Linked DNA regions of Rattus norvegicus. The protein of the gene in region 2 purifies or fractionates together with the protein of the main gene of each other region. This does not show direct contact. Links are inferred from orthologs where the notes say so. Each region holds a gene or a part of one and is shown on either strand. Other genes may lie near its edges. The genes, in order: Tent5c and Fndc3a.

Region 1 (10,983 bases), on a different chromosome or scaffold from region 2:
TCCTTCTTGCCCCCCCACCCCCACTCCCTGAGATGTAGACAAAGCATTTGTATGAAAGTATATTACAATCACTTTGCTATTCCTTTATTTCTTTTCTTTTTCTTTTTTTTTTTTTTTTTCCGGAGCTGGGGACTGAACCCAGGGCCTTGCGCTTGCTAGGCAAGCGCTCTACCACTGAGCTAAATCCCCAACCCGCTATTCCTTTATTTCTTAATCTGTATGTAGATAGCATAAATTTGCTTAGTGTGGAGGGACATTCATTAATCTACGTGCTTACTGAGGTCCTGCATCCCCTATATGCATATTAATAATGCTCAACTCATCATGTTATGGGAGATGCCTAGAAGATATTTGAATGAATATTATAACTCACTCTGAGATAATGTAATCAAAAAGTCAGGACATCAGAAACTGGTAAATTAGGGAACACGTGATCACTCTTCCAGAAGTCTTTCCTACCCAATGAAGTCTTTCTTACTCAACAAACAGTAATGGAGGGATTCCTTCGACTTGCTGGAGTACTGAAAATAGTTTTACTGAGACATGGAATTTCTAGGGTTATTCTAAAAGAGGGTACTCTTGCATTTTGAAGGCTGTTTTATCTGTTTTCCCAACTGCAGCTTCTCTAGGCACAAACCAGTGGATTATTCTGAATGGAAAAAAGAAAGACAGACAGACAGACAGAAAGAAAGAAAGAAAGAGAGAAAGAAGGAAAGAAAGAAAGAAAGAAAGAAGGAAGGAAAGAAAGAAAGAAAGAAGGAAAGAAGGAAGGAAAGGTCTTTGAAGCATTTTGATTGGCTATGTGCCAGCAGAGGCTGGAATTTGGCAAGGAGGTACCAAGAGTCTTGCATGGATAGTTTAAATTATCTGGTTCCATGTCCAGTGAGCAGGACCTGGCAACCTCCTGAGCCTCCTGCCAACTTCAAGGTGCCACAGTTGGTGAGGTAGAAAGAACACAGTGTATTTAAAAAAAAAAAAAAACAGAAGAAACAAAAATTCTAAAAAGTTTAGAAAAGCTGTGGGGATTAAAAAAAGAAATCTGAGGAGAAACATACACATGCAGGACTATAACAAGTTTCGTCTCTGGACTGGCCCTCCCCATCTCCCCATCGTAGAATTACCTAATTTGTTCAGGACGTTGAACAAAATGTCACCTAAGCAAAGGGCAGATCAAACTTTAGGTTTAGAAGTTTCTTGTGATAAGAGCACAGAAGGGACTAACAGGGAAGCCAGCTGGGAGGGGACCTGGTAGAGACCTGAGAAGGGACAGAACACAGCATATGGCAAACATATATGTCTGAAACGTCATGATAGAAACCACTAGATTGTATGCTGACTTTTGTAGTAGATGTTTTTACATCTACTAATATCAATAGCTACCTCTGATGACCATATCCATGTCAAAGGCCAAGGTAATAATTTGTTTAAATGTTATTGAGATTGGAGCTTTGCAGAAGGTCAGTTACTTCCTCAAGGCTTAAAACCCAGTTCTTAGAAGAGAGCATAGGCAACCATCTTTGTGGCTTTGGGCTAGGCAGAGATTCCTTAAACACTAAACATTAGAGATATGCTTGGTAAGTTGGGCTGATTGGAAATTAAGAAACTCTTTTTACTGATAATAACAGTAAACTATAAACCAGCTACAGGTTGAGAGAAGGTATTTGGAAGAGATATAAGAAAGGAGTTATATCCAGACTATGTGAAGAACTGAATACAGTTCAAATGGGCAAAAGACACACATAGATACATCCCCCCCATAGACCATCATAATGGATCATAAACATTTGAGAAGTTGCTCAGTAGTACTGGTCACCAGAGAAATGAACGTCTAATTATAATGAAATACACATCCCGGTTTTTCATTTACAAAGAAAACACTTGGGCCACGGAGATGGCTCAGAGGGTAAAGCTGCTTATGACCAAGCCTGAGGATGACCTAAACTCAGTCCCCAGCTCACACACGGTGGAGAGCTGGAACTCCCAACAAGTTGTTCAATGACTTCCACACGCCCACTGCGGCACGCACACCCCCCTCCAACAACAGTAAAATGTAACTAGAAAAACTTTAAACAGCATGATCCCAAAGTGGTAAATATGTGGGGTCATCGGGAATCTTTACAGCACTGGTTGGAACATTAAACAGATTTCCCATTCTGCTTTACAAATATATCTATTTGTTGTTTGTTTTATGGTTTACACTTGTTGTCCCCCCCCTTTAGTTATCTTTAATAACTCAGATAACTGGAAATACATTTAAAGTTTAACGTGTGGATACCCTGTGAACTAGAATTTCCAGTCTCCAGCATGTGCCTGACACAACTCAATGCTGTACAGAAGACACAGGGAAGAATGTGGACAGCAATTTCACTATGGACCGTTCAAAACCTGAAGCAAGTGAAACGCATATCAAACAGTCAGCAGACTGCATACATTATTGGTTATTTAATGAGTATGTAGTAGTGAAGAATGAAACATGGTTACATACAACACGGAGAAATCTCATTGACGGAAACATGCTCATGCTTTCTTTCCCCATGTGCAGTTCAGATGCAGGTACAATTGATATATGAAGACTGAGATCTTAATATTGGTAACCCTGTAATATGTTGAGTGACAGGAGCCATGGCCAAGCTGGAAATGTTCTGAGTGACAGCTCTGTGGGTACACACACCTATCATTTTGCACACAATAATAGACACTATGAGATCAGACAGGGCTCACATTAACAACAACAAACCTGGCCCTATAGCCTGAATTTGTGTTCAAGAACATGTAAGTTCTTATACTGATGTCTTATACTGTTATAGTTTTGAGAATTTCCTTCCCCTACCAGAGAAAGCACGTTCGTGAGAACTCTTCATAGTCTAGCAGACACTGCAGGGCACTCCTGCTCCACAGAGGTGCTAAGAGGGCAGAGGAGAGCACCGATTCAGGAAACCATCTAGCCCCCAGTACCCAGCAGAGGGTCAAACGAAGCTCAACAAGTGTTTATTAACACAGCTTTCTAATTTATTTAGTAGCTGGCATGAACTGCATACCAAGCAGTGCATGATTAATAACTATTTCCCTAATATCGACCTCACATTTCCATACTACAGATGGGAAATAGAGGTTTTTGGAGAATAGGTTAAGCCAGTTAGTAAAGCTGGGCGTGTCCCAGCAGTTGGGAGGTGCACACAGGAGGGCCAGTTAAAAGTCAACCAAGGCAACTTGGAAGCCTGTCTTGGGTTCAGGAGGCATTGTATAAAAAAAAAAACCTCAAAAAAACAAAGCAAACTATCCTCTTGCAAGGCCTTTCCAGATAGTTAAGAGGTGAAGAAGATTTCCACTCATCAGCCTTAATTCTAAAGCAGAGCCATCAACCACGTGCAAGGAAATTAAGGGTCGTGTGTGTTTGGGGGCGGGGATGGGGGCCCCCCTCTGCGAGCAGTAACAAGCAGCACAGACCAGCGCTATTCTCAGGAGGGCTGAGCTGCTGTGCTTAAGGCTTTGGTGATGGCTTCCCAGGTCTGCCAACTGCACACAGGTGTCCCCGCGGCCAGAGAATCAGCTGCTTCCTTTCCCCCAGGACCACGACCTCACCTCCAGCCAATTTGCTCGAGGAATCAGAAAGATTTCCAGGGCCCATTTAAGAGTTTTCCGACTTCACAAACACCGAGCGAGGCAAGCGTGGGCTTCCACTCCGGGATCCCGGAAACCAGAGAGCACTATGGTGAAGAGCGCCTAAAACTTTGAAAGAAGAGCACCCAGCAGGGAGCAAGTTGGGTAGAGGGGAGAAGAGTCCAGGCGAGGGAAGGCTGAAGGTAGAGAGGAGCGGAGAGGACAGAGGGAAACTGTCCCCTCATGCTCAAAGTTAGTTCAGCGCCCACAACCCGTGTCTCTCTCTCTCTCTCTCTCTCTCTCTCTCTCTCTCTCTCTCTCTCTCTCTCTCTCTCTCTCTCTCTCTCTCTCTCTCTCTCCTCTCTCTCTCTCTCTCTCTCTCTCTCTCTCCTCTCTCTCTCTCTCTCTCTCTCTCTCTCTCTCTCTCTCTCTCTCTCTCTCTCTCTCTCTCTCTCTCTCTCTCTCTCTCTCTCTCTATTGCGCCTGCGCAATGCTGCCTCTTGGTCACCCCGCCCCTTTGCGCCGCGGGAGGTTTACTTGTCTCTCGGCAACCATTGACCCGGGAAGCCAATCAGAGGGCAGCGTTCGTCCAGCCCCCCCCCCCCCCCCCCGTCAGCGCGGGGCGCAAGGATCCCTCGGGGCCTCGGCCGTCGCGCCCCGCCCTGGCTCCCCCGGGAGGCCGGCCGCGGGGCGGGGGCAGGGGCGGGGAGGCGCGGGGGAGTGGTCAGGCCGGTTAAGATCGGAGGGGGCGGCGGCCGGACCGCTCACTCGCCGCAGCTGTCTGGGGGCCTAAGTCTCCGCACGGCTCCTGCTGGGGGCTGCCCACGCCAACCACCTGCTTCAGTCACCTCTTCTTCCAACGCCCAGGTAAGTCCACGCTCCCATCCTCCACAGGTGGGAGGATGCTGCTGCGGTCCTCCGGTGGGGAGCCACGCACTCTGGCTCCGGGTGGGTCCCCGCAGAGCCTAGTGGGGTGCCCCGAAGATGGAGGCTAGATGCCGACAGGTGTCAGGACCCGTCCGGCTCCCGCGTCCCTGACGCAGGCTTACCTCTGTGAAGGAGCGCAAACTTTTCGGAGACTGCGCTCGGGCTTTGGGAAACTTGGGCGAGTTCCTGCTGGCCCGGCGGCAGTTGTGTAGGTGGCTCTTTCTCTGCTTCTGCTAGTCGGTACTCTAGCTCTGAGCTGCGCCCCTGTGGCGCGCTCACGGAGCCCGGAACCCCGGCGATTTTGAACCCCGCGGTTTTGGCGGCGTAGATGAAGACGCTGTGGTCGGGGGCTAAAGCCTGGCCGGAGAGGGGAGGGCAGTTCCCTGGGCTCAGTGCCCAGGATGGCGGCTGAGATCCTTCTCTATTTGGAACTGTGGGTACCGCGCGTGGCCAAATGATCGAAGCTGCGCGTCTCTCGGAAACTTCTCGAGAATACGGCGGCTGTGAGACCTGGTTCCTCCCCTTTGGGGATCGAAAGTCGCTTACTGCGTAGGCTGAAAGCCATGCAGTCAGTCAGTTGACTCTGATAGCGGTGCTGTTGGTGGCTTAGAGGCGCGGCTCCCGGATCGTCCCGAGCGTCTGCGAGGAGGGTGATAGCCCTTTTCCATAGAAAGAGTTAAGGAACCTGCAGTGCCAGCTGGTAGCCTTTACACCTAGCACTGGCGGACGGGCAGGCAGGCAGGCTACCTCAAAGTCCTGATGAGGAAATGCCTGGTTTTTCAAGAACGCAAAACTTCCACCGGCGTTGATTGTCATACCTAGATGCTCTGGGTCCCTTTCTCCCCTCTTCCCTTTAATGTGGAGAAACCCTTCAGAAAGTCCTGATCAATTCCTAAGTCTTAAGCCCCTCCCCTCTCAATTCGAGGATTAAAGTGCTTACAACGAAAGACTTAGTAGACTTACTGATTTATTAAGAATAGCTATATATATAATCCTTTGAATTATGACGAGTTTGGTATTCTGAAAGTAAAGTTAAAATGTTCAGATCTTCCTAAATTAGACCCCCAGCTGCCCCAGCTACCCTGGGAAGGAGGGTGACGGTGGCCATTGCTGGCTACAACAACTTCCACTGTAATTTGCTTGGCAAGGCAGCGAGGGAGCCAGAAAGCTAGCCAGGCAGCCAAGAGGGTGGTAGGAGAGCTTACCAAGAATTCTCCCGAGCGAGCGAGCTGGAAGTCACTAGAGGTGTGATTGTTTTTCCACATTTTACCCCGCAGTTGAAGGGTGTGGGGTGAAGAGTAAAGAAGGGCCACTTTTCTCTTCCTGCTGCAGCTGGACCAGCAGTGGCCCTGTCCTCTGCAGTCCTTGTTTGTGAGGATGGAGCGCTTAGTATCCCAATCAGAAACCTTCTCTCTGAAGAGATAGTTTGGTTTAGGAGTTCACACGATAGGAACTTTTAGAAGGATGAGTTCGATGTGTGGAATACTTGTCCCAGTATCTGCACAGGATGTCGATGACTGTCATTAAAATTGTGGGGGTTGTTCAGCGATCTCTAGACAGTTACCAAAAGAAAGGTCCCGAAGTTTTATGAGTGACTTTAGTGTGTGCACCTAGAACAAACAGTCACACTCTTTAGTCTGAGTTTCTCCCATAATACCTACCTTGTATCTAGAGATTAGGTTTGTGAACTCAGAAGGGAGGACTTGGCTCTTGGCCCTTGGCCCTGTTGGTCTGAGTGTGAGTGGAGTGCCAAGAGCTCACTCTTCAGCTTTTCCAGTTCTGCTGCACGCATAGCTCCCAAGCTTTCTGCAGAACTTTCAGCCTGGACGTCTCCCCCAGCCCCAGTGGGCTCCCAGTCAGGCACACGCTTAGCCTGCATGCTAAGTCCAAGGCCAGGCAGATTACACTTGCCTTGCACTGCCCATTGGAAAGTCCGGGAACCTCTCAACAATGAAGGCAATTTAAAAGTGGGCTGTTGTGCCCTGTTGTACTATTAGCTAGGCTCAGCTGTGACAAAATGGGAACGCCGCATTGAATGTTTCCTTCCTTCCTTTCCTCCCTCTCTGCCTCCTGCCCAGCTCCATCCACTAAGTAGTACCCTGCCTTCTCTCTTCTATGCTGTACTGTCTCAGAGTCAGCCATGGAAGAAGGGCAGCCTATGTTACTAAGAAAAACCATAGAAGCAGAGATGTGTTGAATTAAGATGATGTTTAGGGGTTTATCTTCCCTGTCCTCCTGAAAGCGAGCTCTCCCTCTCCCTCCCTCCCCCTCCCCCCTCTCAGTTAATAGGTGGTGAGGCAGAATGAGGTGTTTCTTGGACTAAGACTGGTCTGTTCCTTTTTCTCATCAATGAGGTAACGGGCAATATGGGGAGATGCCCTCTACCATCCCGCTGTTTTGACTGTAGCTGTTGAAATTGTATTATGACACCAGCCCCTCCATATTTAAAGGTGTGCTCGATGAGTTTAAAGCTACTTGAGGCAAGAGTAAAGCTGACCTCCTAATTTCTTGAACCCAAGGTTTCTCCCTCTTTGAAACCTTTTGATTGGATGCATTCATCGAAAGGAAGCTTAGAGTTCAAAAGGTTTATAGAAAACATCTTCACATAACTCTGTAAGGGAATCTTCTGGACTTTTTCACATTAATATTCTGTACAGCTGGCCCCTGGTAGCTTGTTCTTGAAGTGTTTGCAGAGCTTTTTGAAACAACAGGGACGAAGCTCTTAACAAGAAGAAGTAATTGCTGACACGAAGCAGCAGTTGTCCAGTGGTTGCAGAACATTTCCCACTGTGGGTCCTTAAATTGGGTGGTCCTTTTTTCTTGGATGATGGTGGTTGAGTCAGAAAGTGCTTCCTAGGTGGTGTTTGGTGCCAGGTGCCAGAGAGGCCAAAGGAATGGTATTCGAAAGGCCTGTGGAAGAACTTTAGAGGTGAGAGAGCTGGCCTGGCTTTATGATATACTTGAAGAACTTGTTTTTCTCTCAGTTGTCCTTGCACATGGACCCCAGAAAAGTGGGGTTTGTGGTCACTTCAGAGTCCTCACCCCTGCCTAAAAAGTGCATGCATGGCACATCTATCATGTGAATACACATTCTGCTGGGGGCTGCCTGCTGTTCCTTGCAGAGAAGGAAGCATGGTTGAAGTAGCTATCCTGCTGGACCAGGGGACCAGATGGGGCTTTTTGTGTTAGTAGCGCCAGATTTAAAAGGCTGGATGGTTTCCTGATCATCTTTTCAGTGAAGCCTCTGCAGCATAGGCTTGGAGCTAAGGAACAAGGTGCCTGCAAATTGATCGACAGCTGAAACTCCTAAAGCGGCCAGCTTCTAGCCCTACCGGAGCACCTCTACCCACCCCAGCCCCTGCTCTCCCAGCCCCTGCTCTCCCAGCCCCTGCTCTCCCAGCCCCTGCTCTCCCAGCCCCTGCCCTCTCAGCCCCTGCTCTCCCAGCCTCTGCCCTCCCAGCCTCTGCCCTCCCAGCCCCTGCCCTCCCAGCCCCTGCTCTCCCAGCCCCTGCCCTCCCAGCCCCTGCTCTCACAGCCTCTGATCTCCCAGCCCCTGCTCGCTCACTCAGCCTTTCTCTCTCCCGTGTTCACTCAGCTGCTAGCTCTGCTGACTCTTCTGTTTTGACTTTTTTGTTTCTCGACGTCCTCGCTGACCTGGTTTAGAGGGGACTGTGGACAGGAGCTAGATGAGAGCATCAGCAAGCCTCCCCATCTCTGGCCAATGCTCAGTCCTTTGTGCCTGGAGCACTAGAGTAAGCCCCCAGGAACTGCCCATCTCTGAGGACTCTCTGCCTTCTTCTAAGATTGTGATTTCCTGATGCTTTCCTTGATGCCCCATGGCCAGGTCTTCCTTAACTGTCCTTCTTTGCCGTGCAAAATACAGACTTAGATATTTGGAGAAAAAAACTGAACATAGTCCCTTCCCCTCTGACCTCTGTGCAGGCTCTGACTGACCTCTCATCTGAGAGGACTACCTTACCCCGCATCTGTCTGCTCCAGTATGTTATATGGGCTTTTTGTTTTGCACATTTTCTTGTTTTTATTTTAATTTAAAAATTTTAATATTGAACTGAAGGGGTTTGTTGTTGTCATTGTTTCGCCATCTCCCATTGTCTCCCCATCTGGCCCCTATCACGAAAACTGAAGAAAAATTCCCAGGGATCATGAGCCATCCCCTCCTCCCACCCAGTATTCCTTAGCTTCTACCCTTGGCCTTACAGGATGAGGCCAGGTACCTTCTATGTGACCTGGCTGTGTGTCTCTGACCCTCCGTGTGCTATGGTGACCCCTGCCCCTCTTTGTCATAGTTAGAGATCCGCGTCAGGATTCCACAGCTGCCTGAGGCTCTGGTGCTAGCTGTGTGTGGACTATGGGGATGTAGAGAAAAGAGGACGGTTAAGACACACGGATGTTTGCTCTGGGTTGTTCATCTAGAAGCCGCCACTGCTGTTGCTGCTGCTGTGTCCCATTCCAGACTGTTGTAGACTTTGTGCTTGCTTCCTTGCCTCTTGTAGGCGGACCCTTCTCTGGGGGACACCTGGGCACTGATCCTGGCAGACCCCTTGGCTACTTCATTTCTTTACTGTCATCTATGTAGCAGACAGAATCACTGCTCTCTCAGAGACATGAGACCATTTAAACAATAAATCAACTTGTCTGTTAAACTATGTTAGTAATCAGTGCAAAAAGATGTAAAACAGATTACATCCATTAGCTCAAGCCTTGGGGGTTATGCTGTCTTTTGTATATACTATGCACTTCTGTTTGGACCTTCTACCTTTCTAAGCTTGTGGCTACTGTACTAGGTGGTTCGAGTCTGGCCAAGACGCGCATGTGTTTTACTCTCAAATCCTGGTTCTCTCTGTGTGGGAAGCAATAGTAAGCTATCCAGAGGTCCAGGAGAGAATATATAGGCTGTATGCTCTGTGTGGCCAGGGATCTCTCTCTCCTGCCCTCGGGTCACAGAGTCCCAGGAGAGTGCTTAAAACACAGTAGGGTTGGGTGTCTGAGCAAAGGAGAAGGCGGCACTGACTTTCTGGTGAGCCTTCATCCTGCGAGGCAGACTTGACCCCTTAAAAATCAAAACCAAGGCTGGGGATTTAGCTCAGTGGTAGAGCGCTTACCTAGGAAGTGCAAGGCCCTGGGTTCGGTCCCCAGCTCCAAAAAAAGAACCAAAAAAAAAAAAAAAAAAATCAAAACCAAAGCAAGCAAACAAACGAAAACCCAAAAGACAGAAAACAAAAAACAAACAAAACAAAACAAAAACATTAACGACCCCAGGATGTTGGCGTCCTGTTCCTTGCTCCTGATTTAGCAGGCTTTTTTCCTTAGAAAATGGCTGGAAGTCAAGGAAATGAAATGTGAGATTGTCAGGGGACCGGGGCTGAGTTTATTACCAGTTAGACGTTTGCCAATCGTTTGTCATCAGTGAGAACTTACCAACAATTAAAAATTCAAACAGAAACGCAAGAGGAGTGAGCCATCAAGGCGAAGATGTCCGGGGATCTCTAGTGACAGTCTGGTGAGCTGGAGTGACTCATGAGGCTCTGTGCTGGTAGGACACCACCTCTTAGAAAGTCAGTGCCCGTGCAAATATTGTGCTGTGGATTTATTTCTCCATGTAATGCACCCCTCCATGATGTATTCAAGTTTAGCATGTTTCTCTCTGCCTGTTCCTATGCTTAGAGGTCTGCCACCTGCTACCTTAATGCCCCTACCCTGAGTGGATGACATGTAGTTCCCAACAGCCCTGAAACGGAGGCCAGCTTGCTCTTAGACATTTGTGAATGGGGTGTGTATACATGTCTTACCCTGATAAGCTCTGCATCTGAGAGCTAAGTGTTGCTGGTCCCTTTCCTGATAAGACCCAGGGATGCTACTAGTGATGAGGCAGGACTTGGAGACACTTGTAAAGGCTGAAGGTTTTTCAAGGCTCTCAGCTGGAGAACTGGATGGTGATACAGCCGTTGAAATAAACCTGAGGAATGTGGCCCAGTCCTCCTCTACACAGTCTCCTAGTTTGTTTTCAGTCCAGTCCACCTCTAAAACAAAAAGGACTGGCCCCTGTTCGGGGAGCCCTTTGTGTGAGTTCATACCAGTAATGTCTGACTTAGAAATGCATGCTGTGGCAACCATTACATTTCTAGTTCAATTTGTGCAGTCAAAGCTTCCTGTTGACACCTTGGGGGGAAAGCGCTCAGGGGCTTTCTGCCATGCTGCTAACCCATAGTGTCTGCATTCTGACAGCATTAATACTTATATCAGCAGTGACTTCGGGGTGTTCTCTTGACTATTTACACTTCCAGCCCTGCCTATTGGAATACCCGCCCCAGTGTTTTGATTCTGTTCTGTGCCTTTGAAGTCACAGCATGACTCCTTCCGGTATTATCTCCCCACCCCACACTTGCTTAGGCATCCTACTTTGAGAGGTAGGAAGCAGCTTTCTGTTTGGAGCTC
Region 2 (10,883 bases):
TGAATGTTAAAACATACCCACTGTGATTATTAGCATCATGCCATAGAAAGATTCTTTATATATTGTTAGTCGTAATCCCTCAGAGGAGGTGGTATCTACCAGTTTCTTAACTGCAAAGTCATTCTCTGCCCTTTAGAACCATTGTATTCCATACCAGGATTCCATACCTGTTTTAATGCCCATTACAACCCTTGCCTGGGTCTGTTCCTGTGACTGATAATGCTAAGTGGTGATGCCTTACTTTGTAGTTCAACCTTGGGGCACTAGCTTGCTTGCAGTAGTGACAGATTGAAATTCCTCTATGTAAACTTCTGGAATTTATCTTTCCTCCTATGGCATCACTCTAGGATATATTTTGACTCTTAAATTTGCCCAGTACTTGAACTGTTTAATAATTACAGTTAGTAGAAACAAATCTAAAATTATGGCAAGATGCTGGAAAGTTACCTGGACATGTGAGAGCAGTGCAGAGACCAGAGCAAGTTGGACAGAGCACTGCCTTTGACTAGGTTGTCACAGGTCACAGTTGTTCTTAAAATGCTGGAATTATTAAAACTCTCATAATTACATAGTTCGTGACAAGGCAAAAATGTGGGTATAATTTCTAAAATCAAAATGACACCTAGATTGGATCATTGGATTGTTTTTTTCATTTCTTTGTTAAAAAAATCTATCTCATTTTTTTCCCTGCTTGGAAATAAGTTTTTGTTATCTTGTAGCTTCTGTTGGCTAGGAATCCAGGAACCAGTGGTTCAGATTTAAAGACTACTGAAGTGGAATCATTTGAAGGTGTCGGATTCCAAGTTCACTCACCTGGTTCCTCCCTGAGCCCTCAGCTCTCACCACACAGGCTTTCTCATATTATGCACAGGGCATTTCTGCTGCAATCTGTATGTCAGAAGAAACCATTAGGAATAAATTAAGGCTGTAGATTACAAGCACATTTAGTATGCAGATACACAGTTCTCCAACAGAGAGGACTTGTCAGTTTCAAAGTGTTTAGTCATAGCACTGAACGTGTGTTTTGCTCACAGCTTGGTTCAGTGTGTTATTAGGTAACAAGCATTCTGTCTTCGTGTTCTCTCTACAGGTCATTGCTTATAACTCAGAAGGTAAAAGCAGTCCTAGTGAAGTAGTGGAATTCAGCACCTGCCCTGATAAACCAGGAGTACCTGCGAAGCCTTCGGTTAAAGGGAAGGTACACTCACACGGCTTTAAAATTACTTGGGGTAAGATGTTTTTGTGTTTGATTAAAATAATTTAAAAGCGAACTTTTCTTTAAGACCAACCTTGTGAAACTATCACAGTACCTTTTGCTAGAAATTTACCCTTTCGTCCTTAGACAAGAGGAACAAAATCCATAAGCAACTGGTTCAAAATTCAAATTCCTGTTTCATGGATGTAAATGTCCAGATGGACAAATTATTGTTACATTAGGCCGTGCTCAAACAGTGGCTCCTCCTGTGGATGGTTAGTTGTTGAAGCAACTTGCTATGGGACAAAGGCAGACTCACAGGAGTTGTTTAGAAGAAAGGGATGCTGTGTTTTCTCAGGACAGAGAGCCCAAGCTCAGTAATTTAATCCACCGAGCCAGCATGATGATTTCCTGTTGGCTACTAGTACCAGTGTTTGAATAACATTGTGATGGTGGTGCTTGGGTAAAGTTATTTATTAACTTAGGGCAGTCTGATAAGAAATGTGTCCTCCAGCAAGGATATATCTGTGGAAAACTGTATACTCACAGATACTAACCAGGTTTGACACTAAAAGAACTGGGGGCCCCTGTAAGAGGATAAACAGGGTCAGCTTCATGTGAAAGAGAGAGATTGCTGAACATGGAGCCAGCAGCATCTGAGTCATCTTAACGCTCAAGTCAAACAACAAGAGCAAAGCTTCAACCTTTGCAGAGCATCTGCTTATATCTGAGTTCAGTGGGTGTGCAAACTCAATCCTGCCTTGGAGACGTTTGGAAAAGTCAGCACATTACAAGTACAGATTTCAAATTCCCTTTGAAGCTAAAGTGAATGGAATGTTGTGCAGCCACTGAAATTATTGTAGAGTCAGTTTTATATGGGTAGATTTAGTGGGACAGACTGGTATATTGATTGAAAATTGGTGACAGTAGTATAAACAAAGGATGTGTGAATAGTAATCGTTCAGTGGTTCTTTTTGCCTTGTAACAATCTGCCTTTGTATTCTGTCTTTTGGGGTTTCCATAATACATACCACTTTTGTTTGTGATAGATCCACCAAGAGACAATGGAGGGGCACCCATCAACAAGTATGTGGTGGAGATGGCAGAAGGCTCTAATGGTAAGGAAGCATAGCTGGTAAAGCTGACAGATGTGCTCTGCTGGATGAACCTCTGGTCTTCTGGCTTTACATTGTTTGCTGCCATAAACACATTTGTGCTGTGCTGAGAATTGTCCTTGATTTGGTGATATTAGCGGGTGCGAGTATTTGTGGCAGCTACAATTGTGCCCATCGTGTTATGCTTCAGATCTGGAAATAGAGTGGACCAAATGTCAGCATCTATTACTAAACTCATATTTTCTTTTTTTTCTTATTTTCATGTTTATATTATACAAGCCTAGCATGTCCAGACTGATTTTTTTTAGATACTATATATTTAATGTATTAAGGAGTAGTTTATTAAGTTAGGTTTATACCCACATGTACTAGAGGAAAGTTGGTCTCTAAAGGTTAACTCTAATTAAGGTTTTTATGAACTTTGTGCTTGAGTCACCTGTCCATCAGTTTTTATTCCTATAAGGTATGTTTACTTCAAAGAAAGGTCTTGTAATTATGATTAAATGTGTTACTATACTGACTATATTCTTTGTTACAATATTATTACTGGACTAGTAAACACATTTAATATGCTTAATTAAAAGCAGATTACCAGGGTTGGGGATTTAGCTCAGTGGTAGAACACTTACCTAACAAGCACAAGGCCCTGGGTTCAGTCCTCAGCTCCGGGAATTAAAAAAAAAAGCAAATTACCAATCTAAGTCAAACACTGTACAGAGATATTTCAGTTCAACAAAACCATGCAGATTTGTATCGGAGACCACATGCATAAAGAAAATCTATTTCAGGAAACCCAAGTCAGGCTTGAATTGTTTCTGACAACTTACATAGACACTTAGTAAATGAAGCCTGAGATGCCAGCCCCCTCCATGATACCACAGTGTTACCATTATCTGGTAGCTGATTGCACACAATTCTGCACCTTTCAGGAAGCAAGTGGGATATGATCTACAGTGGCGCCACCAGGGAACATCTTTGTGACCGGCTGACTCCAGGCTGCTACTACCGCCTGCGGGTTTACTGCATTAGTGATGGAGGGCAGAGTGCGGTAATGCTTATGTGTACACGTGTTTGTTTTTTAATTTGGACCACATGGGGCAGGGCCAACATTTCCTGACTTCATTGGTGAAGTCTGTGGACAAATAGGCAAGAGTAATGTTTGTAACACGGTTTTTGTAACCTGGGTGCTATGTTAGAGTTACCAGAATATTCGAACAGGATATTTTACTCGCAGTACATATTTAGGTAAATCTTAGGAAGATATTTGATATCTATATTCAGCAGAAACTGAAATAGTTAGATACTGATTTGCTGCTTTGCAAATTGTGTCTCTGGAGAAACCATAAACTGTTCGAACACAGATACAACATTTTAGTATTTCAGAAAATCTAGCCATTATTTTATGATTCTTAAGAGAAGCAGTAACTGGGGTTTAATCCCAGCACTTGAGAGGTAGAGGATGATGGATCTCTGAGTTCAAGGACCAGCCTGGTACACAGAGCAACAGAGCAAGTTCCAGGACAGCCAGGGCTACAAAACCCTGCCTCAAAAAAAAAAAAAAAAAAAAAGAAAGAAAGAAAGAAAGAAAAAAAAAGGACTCAGTAACTCAGTGACCAATAACTTTATCAGTTGTTTTGATCGTATCCCAATTCTGAGGACAGTTTTAGAGCCTGGTTCAATACTGAGTACATTTGGCATCTTTGGTTGCACTTACTCAATCCCAACATTTTCATTGCTTAGTAATTCAGAGAGGGTGTCTTCATCAGGCTTCCTGACGGCCTATTTGGGCTGGTCACAGTCCTTGAGGGTTTCTACTTTGAATCTGCTTGAGGACAAACAAGAGCATGAGAACACTGGGCAGAGACTGCCCTTTTCCTCATTTTAGGTCATTTCAAACTACAGAAATGTTTTGTGATTTCCACTCCCTGCCAAGATGCTTGCTATAGTCCCTGTCTCTACTTTCTTGTGAGTTTCAGAGAGCATCCTAAAGCATGCCAGGAGCCCTGGCCCAGGCACATACCACAAGCAACCTCAGTAGCCAAGCTCAGTGCAGCAGGGTGAGGCAGATCCCCCTCCCCACAGTTTTGGACAGCATGTGGCGCACCTCTGCTTGCTTATACCTCCTGTTCTTCACTCCTGAGCTGGAATCACGTTCTAGGCACCTGATGTATTTTTAAAGAATTTAACCAAGAATCAGTTATTGGAACATTCATAATAATGTTTTTCAAATGGAAGTTTGCATAATAAAAGCACTGTTGTTAAAAATGACTTTTAAACTTCTTGTTAGGCATGCAAGTATTGTGAAACTAAAGTGTGTGTGCTGCCCAGCAGGACTGTGGTACAGTGTTCCCTTCTATTAATCGAGAAAGGTCCCTGGTGGTAAAGGCATAATTTGATGCTAGAACAGTTTTCTGTGGAAGAGATCTTCCTGAATCCCTAGAACCATCCGGAGAAAAGGAGAATCTCCCCGCATTTAAGAACAACAAACATAACATCTAAAATTCTTTTCAAGTATATCATTGAAGAACGCCTCTACATTACATAGAATGTCTGTCTGAAAAAATGTTGAACAAGTGGTTTGTGTTTAAAAAGAATTAAATATTAAATGTGAACTTTTATATACAACTAGGGCAGGTGATCTTCAAAATAAAATCAAGGCTGGGGCTGCTAGCATTTCATGATAAGATACTTGCTTAGCATTTGTAAGACCCTGGGTTCAAACTCTTGTCACATAAGAAAATAAAGACTTTAAAAATAGGGACCAAAGCAATACTAAATAAAGGTGTCATGTACTAGAGAAACTAACTGGCTGTAGAACTGATATTAGAGGAATAAAAAAATAAATAAGTTAACATTAGGGTTAAAAGACAGTTTAAAAAAAAATAAAAGCCCTATGAGTCTTAACCTTCAAAACCAAAAAGGTAGAAAGCATCTATAGTGTTGGAACAACCTAAGAGGACTGTGGGTCCCTGTGGACAGGATTGGTTTAGCTGCCTATTGTCTTGGATTCGTTGTTTTGTTTTGTTAAAGGACTTATTCCTTTTCCCGTTTGTTTTTTTTAATAGTAGTTATAGCACATGTCTTTTTGTCTATAAAAATATGTTGCAATGATTTAATAAGGCTTGATTCTATTCAGCACTTTATTTCTGTGAATAGTAAAGTATGATTTCACACTGATACAATTTTATATTGTGTTAAAATCCTTTATCAAAGCAATCCAGTTGTTTAGAGCCTTTTGTTTGATTTTTCTGCAGGTCTCTGAATCTTTACTTGTGCAGACTCCAGCTGTGCCTCCTGGCCCATGCCTCCCTCCCAGGTTGCAGGGTAGACCCAAAGCAAAAGAAATACAGTTACGATGGGGTAATTTCCATTTTGCTACTGAATTATAATTAAATTAGAACCAAAATATTCCTCCTGTTAAACCCCTAAATCTATCCCTGCTTAGGACCTCCTCAGGTTGACGGCGGATCACCCATTTCCTGTTATGCAGTAGAAATGACTCCTGCAGATAAAGATGAGCCCAGAGATGTTTACCAAGGCTCTGAAGTGGAGTGTACAGTGAGCAGCCTTCTTCCTGGAAAGACGTACAGCTTCAGACTTCGTGCAGCAAACAGAATAGGGGTGAGGGAACTGCCATCTTATCATCGCGCCTGTCACTGTTTATAAGCTTCTAGTGATAAAGAAGGAACAGTGCCCTATCACTTGCCTTTCTGTCTTTGTACTTTCAGATCTTAGAGTTTATGGCACTTGGAAGGAGTTGTGGCTTCCTTTCAGATGTTTAAAAGCCTGTTTGCCTGCTCACTAAACTGGTTTTATGGAGCATTTACTCCCCACTGAAAACCAGATGGAATTCATGCTTTGCTTCATGAGCACATGCTGATATTTAAGCATTTATGGTTTATATGAGTAATTTAAAAGTGTGCGTGTATATGTTTGTGTATACAGAGGTGGGGGAGATCCATAAAATACATAAAAAGGTGATAGCCCCTCGTTGCAGCTAGTGAGGCTAGGGCTGGAAGAGCGCGGCGTCCACACAGCTGCCGATGCCCTCACTCTCTGCTAGGGCAGATAGGAGCCCTGAGATAAAGCAGTTGCTTGGGTGGGTGGCACATTTTTAAAAACTATTCCAAAATTAATTGTTTTCAAACTTTAAACTCACAGGTCTCTTTACCAATGTTTTAAGACTTGTGCTTAAACTGTGCTTTGTTTTATAATCTGTCTCCAGTTGAACTCCATTTTAATCTGAGTACACTTAAATATTGCGAATGGAATTGTATGGTCTGCAGGCAGTCATAGTCCGTATGCCTTCAGCAACCGCATAGGCTGCAGTTAACTGGTAGCATAGTCGATGTGATGTCTTCCTTTTTATTTACTGGTTTTTACTAGTTTGTCAAGATAACTTTGCACATTTACTTCCTTTATTTCCACTAAACACCCATCTTTGACTTTTTAAGCTAAGATTGGTGCCTGCCATCTCCCATGTTTGTATTTGGTGCCGTCATCCCCCTTCAGATCATTCCTTTATCGCACCTCCCTAATTTACTAGTGCCCATCTCCTTTTACAAAAAGCAGTTCATAAAGAGAATAAGGGAGTGGGAGAGACAAAGTATATTAAATGAAACTTAAAACTCTGCTTCTTTTTCTATAATTGTTAAATCTTTTACTCTTAATGAATGCCTTTAGAATTATGACCAAATTAATTTTGAAGAACTTAATTGCTGGTAAGTCTTTAGATATAGGATTCTGTGCAGTGAACGTTTAAGGATGAAAAAGAAAACTGTGTTCTGTTTTTCTAGTTTGGACCATTTTCAGAAAAATACGATATCACTACAGCCCCTGGGCCACCCGACCAGTGCAGACCCCCTCAAGTGACATGCAGATCTGCAACTTGTGCACAAGTGAATTGGGAGGTACTGTAATTTCTACTTACTTACATAATTTTCCTAAGTAGTGCTTATAAAAAAATAAAAGTAATCTTCGCTTTTGATCCTTTATTTATGTGAAAACTGAGTCCTAGATAAATTCACATGGTAGAAATGAGTTAATTGTTGGAGTAAGATAGATTTGCCTTTTAAGTATTCAGGCTCTGGTTTTTGTTACTTAGTGTGTTTAATCAAAGGTTTTGTTTCTTTACTGAGATTTTAGCAACTGGCGAACTTTGAACAATCAATTGTAAGATTTGATGTATCTTTCTCTCAAATTCATTATCAGTATATTGTGTATTGTAATTGGTCACTGATATCCAATTTCCTTTGAAACTTGTGAAAATATCTGTGTAAGTTAACATTCTGTCGTCAAATTATTTTGAAGTGACTTTATTAAGATACTCTGACTCTGAGGCATATTTTTCTTGTGCTATAAGGCAGAAGACTGTTCAGGTAGTTTTAATGAATGAAAATTGTACACTATTGATTGTGTTGAAATGTTTTAAATCAGACAGTCTCATTTTTAATATGTTAGAGGAAGGAATGATTGTTCCCCAGAGCTGTTGAATTACTTTCAAGACTAAGAAAACTGTATCCTTTTCATAAAGATTCCTTTGAGTAACGGAACTGACATCACTGAGTACCGGCTGGAATGGGGAGGAGTTGAAGGAAGTATGCAGATATGTTACTGTGGACCTGGCCTCAGTTGTGAATTAAAAGGACTTTCACCAGCTACTACCTATTACTGCAGAGTCCAAGTAGGTGACCGGTACCTGGGCACACACACTACTCAGAATCTTCTGTTTAGAGGTCACGGCCACAAGTGTGTCTTTGTTAACTTGCTTTATTCATCTGTAGGCTTTGAGTGTTGTAGGTGCGGGTCCCTTCAGTGAAGTTGTAGCCTGTGTGACGCCACCGTCGGTTCCTGCCATTGTGACTTGTCTTCAGGAAATACGTGATGATGATATAGAATACCCCCATTACTCACCCTCCACCTGCCTTGCAATTAGCTGGGAAGAGCCTTACGACCATGGCTCAGAAATCCTTGCCTATAGCATAGACCTTGGAGACAAGCAGCCCTTGACAGTGGGGAAGGTGACAAGCTATGTCATAAACAGTTTGCAACCAGATACAACATACAGGTACACCTCAAAATCTGTCTGTTTGCCTAAACCAGGAAGCTGTGTAAGTACAATAGCCATAAAGTAAGATTTTTTCTGTATGTGTCGTTTAGAATACGAATTCAAGCCTTGAATAGCCTTGGAGCTGGGCCTTTCAGCCATACTATTAAATTAAAAACTAAGCCCCTTCCTCCTGATCCACCTCGGCTGGAATGTGTTGCCTTTAACCACCAGAACCTTAAGCTTAAATGGGGAGAAGGAACTCCAAAGACGTTAGCAACAGATGCTGTTCAGTACCACCTTCAGATGGAAGATAAGAACGGAAGGTAGGCTTTCTACTTCCTTTTTCATGTGTAGAAGTTGGGGGTTAAGGTATAAAATGTTTATAGTAAATAGTTTGCCAGGCCAGACTGAAGGCTCTCATAAGGGGCCCACTAGGTGGCTCAGTGGGTAGAGACTCCTGCTGCCCTGATTCCCAAGCTGAGTACCTGCGTGACGAAAGGAGAACCAACTCCATCCATTACATGTGTATCACAGGCCACACACACACACACACACACACACACACACACACACACACACACACACACACAAATTAATTAAAATGTAATAAAGTTATTTATCAAAGCTATCTTAAATAATTTAAGTACGTTTTTCAAACTCTCAGAAGGCTCCCTGTGGCTTTCTTGTTTTAATTCCAGTGATGCTCAGGAACTTACGTGAGCTCTTACCTTAGCTATGAAGTAACTCTCTGCAGTTGATTTCCAGCTGCACAATTTATACAAACTGTGATCTGTTCAAGGCTTCTGAGTGAGATTTTAGACAGCACGGCTATGACTTACACTCCTGATGCAAGGACACTTCAGCCCCTCCCTCACCAGCAAGGCCTAGTTGGACTGTGATTTTTGTCCAGTGTCGTTGGCACACTGCCTGTCCCACTTTCATGTTCTTCCACACGTCTGTTGGGCTTCTACATAACACGCACTGACACTGCCCTAGCAGATCCTGTACTTCAGTTAGAGTATATTATTCAGATTATTTTTAACATTGTTTAAATACCAATTTAGAACTGTTTATTTACTCTGCATATACCACATAAACATTGCCTTGTGCATTATATAGCTAGTAATCTTGTAATATTTTAAGATTATAAATAATACTTCTGTACTTTTTACACAATTAGAAGATTGCCCAACTTAAGCATGTAAAATACTAAACAGTTTCTCCAAGGTTTACATTGGCTTTAATAACTTTTCCGAACACTTTAATGGCCATAGTGTGTGTTTCTTAATGTCTGTGCTTTTTTTTTTTACAAATATATATATAATTTTTTATTATTGAATATTTTCTTTATTTACATTTCTAAGTTGTGCTCTTTTCTGGTTTCCCCTCCGGAAACCCACTATCTCATCCTCTCCTCCCCCTGCTTCTATGAGGATGTTCCTACACACACACACCCACTCCCTCACATCTCCCGCCCTGGCATTCCCCTGCACTGGGGCATTGAGCCTTCATAGGACCAAGGGTCTCTCCTTGCTGTGATGCCCTACAAAGCCATCCTCTGCTACATATGCAGCTGGAGCCATGAGTGACTGACTCCACGTGTACTCTTTGATTGGTTGTTTAATCCCTGGCAGCTCTGGGGTGTCTGGTTGGTTGATACTGTTGTTTTTCCTATGGGGTTGCAAACCCCTTCAGGTCCTTAAGTTCTTTCTCTAACTCCTCCATTGGGGACCCCATGCTTAGACCAATGGTTGGCTGTGAGCATTCACCTCTATATTTGTCATGCTCTGGCAAAGCTTCTTAGGAGTCTTCTTGGCATCCTTAGTAGTGCCTCACTCAGGATTATATTTTCTAGTTCCATCCATTTGCCTATGAATTTCATGAAGTCATTGTTTTTAATAGCTGAGTAGTACTCCATTGTGTAAATATACCACATTTTCTGTATCCATTCCTCTGTTGAAGGGCATCTGGACTCTTTCCAGCTTCTGGCTATTATAAATAAGACTGCTATGAACATAGTGGAGCCTGTGTCCTTGTTATATGTTGGAGCATCCTTTAAGTATATGCCGAGGAGTGGTATAGCTGGGTCCTCAGGTAGTACTATGTCCAGTTTTCTAAGGACCCTCCAGACTGATTTCCAGAGTGGTTGTACCACCTTGATATCCTACCAGCAGTGGAAGAGTATTTCTCTTTCTCCACATTGTCACGAGCATCTGCTGTCACCTGAGTTTTTTGATCTTAGCCATTTTGACTGGTGTGAGGTAGAATCTCAGGGTTGTTTTGATTTGCATTTCCCTGATGACTAAGGGTGTTGAACATTTCCTTAAGTGCTTTGTGGCCGTTTGAAATTCCTCAGTTGAGAATTCTTTGTTTGGTTCTGTATCCCATTTTTAATAGGGTTATTTGATTCTCTGCAGTCTAACTTCTTGAGTTCTTTGTATATGTTGAATATTAACCCTCCATCAGATGTAGGTTTGGTAAAGATCTTTTCCCAATCTGTTGGTTGCCGTTTTGTCCTAATGAC

What was found.
Region 1: the proteins of Fndc3a (region 2) and Tent5c purify together in Homo sapiens (affinity purification with western blotting; 3 studies listed by BioGRID, with this or other methods). This does not show direct contact. The link is inferred for Rattus norvegicus from reciprocal best matches to the Homo sapiens genes FNDC3A and TENT5C.

Annotation. Positions count from the first base shown.
Region 1 is NC_086020.1:190,557,154-190,568,136, reverse strand, and holds the start of Tent5c (terminal nucleotidyltransferase 5C), read left to right. Parts: upstream 1-4,234; 5' UTR 4,235-4,467; intron 4,468-4,649; exon of another isoform or gene 4,650-6,790; intron 6,791-9,988; exon of another isoform or gene 9,989-10,065; coding exon of another isoform or gene 10,066-10,081; intron 10,082-10,983. UniProt on the Homo sapiens protein: Catalyzes the transfer of one adenosine molecule from an ATP to an mRNA poly(A) tail bearing a 3'-OH terminal group and enhances mRNA stability and gene expression.
Region 2 is NC_086033.1:54,116,421-54,127,303, reverse strand, and holds part of Fndc3a (fibronectin type-III domain-containing protein 3A), read left to right. Parts: intron 1-1,090; coding exon 1,091-1,229; intron 1,230-2,244; coding exon 2,245-2,313; intron 2,314-3,239; coding exon 3,240-3,358; intron 3,359-5,564; coding exon 5,565-5,670; intron 5,671-5,755; coding exon 5,756-5,931; intron 5,932-7,106; coding exon 7,107-7,220; intron 7,221-7,843; coding exon 7,844-7,993; intron 7,994-8,093; coding exon 8,094-8,377; intron 8,378-8,469; coding exon 8,470-8,682; intron 8,683-10,883. UniProt on the Homo sapiens protein: Mediates spermatid-Sertoli adhesion during spermatogenesis.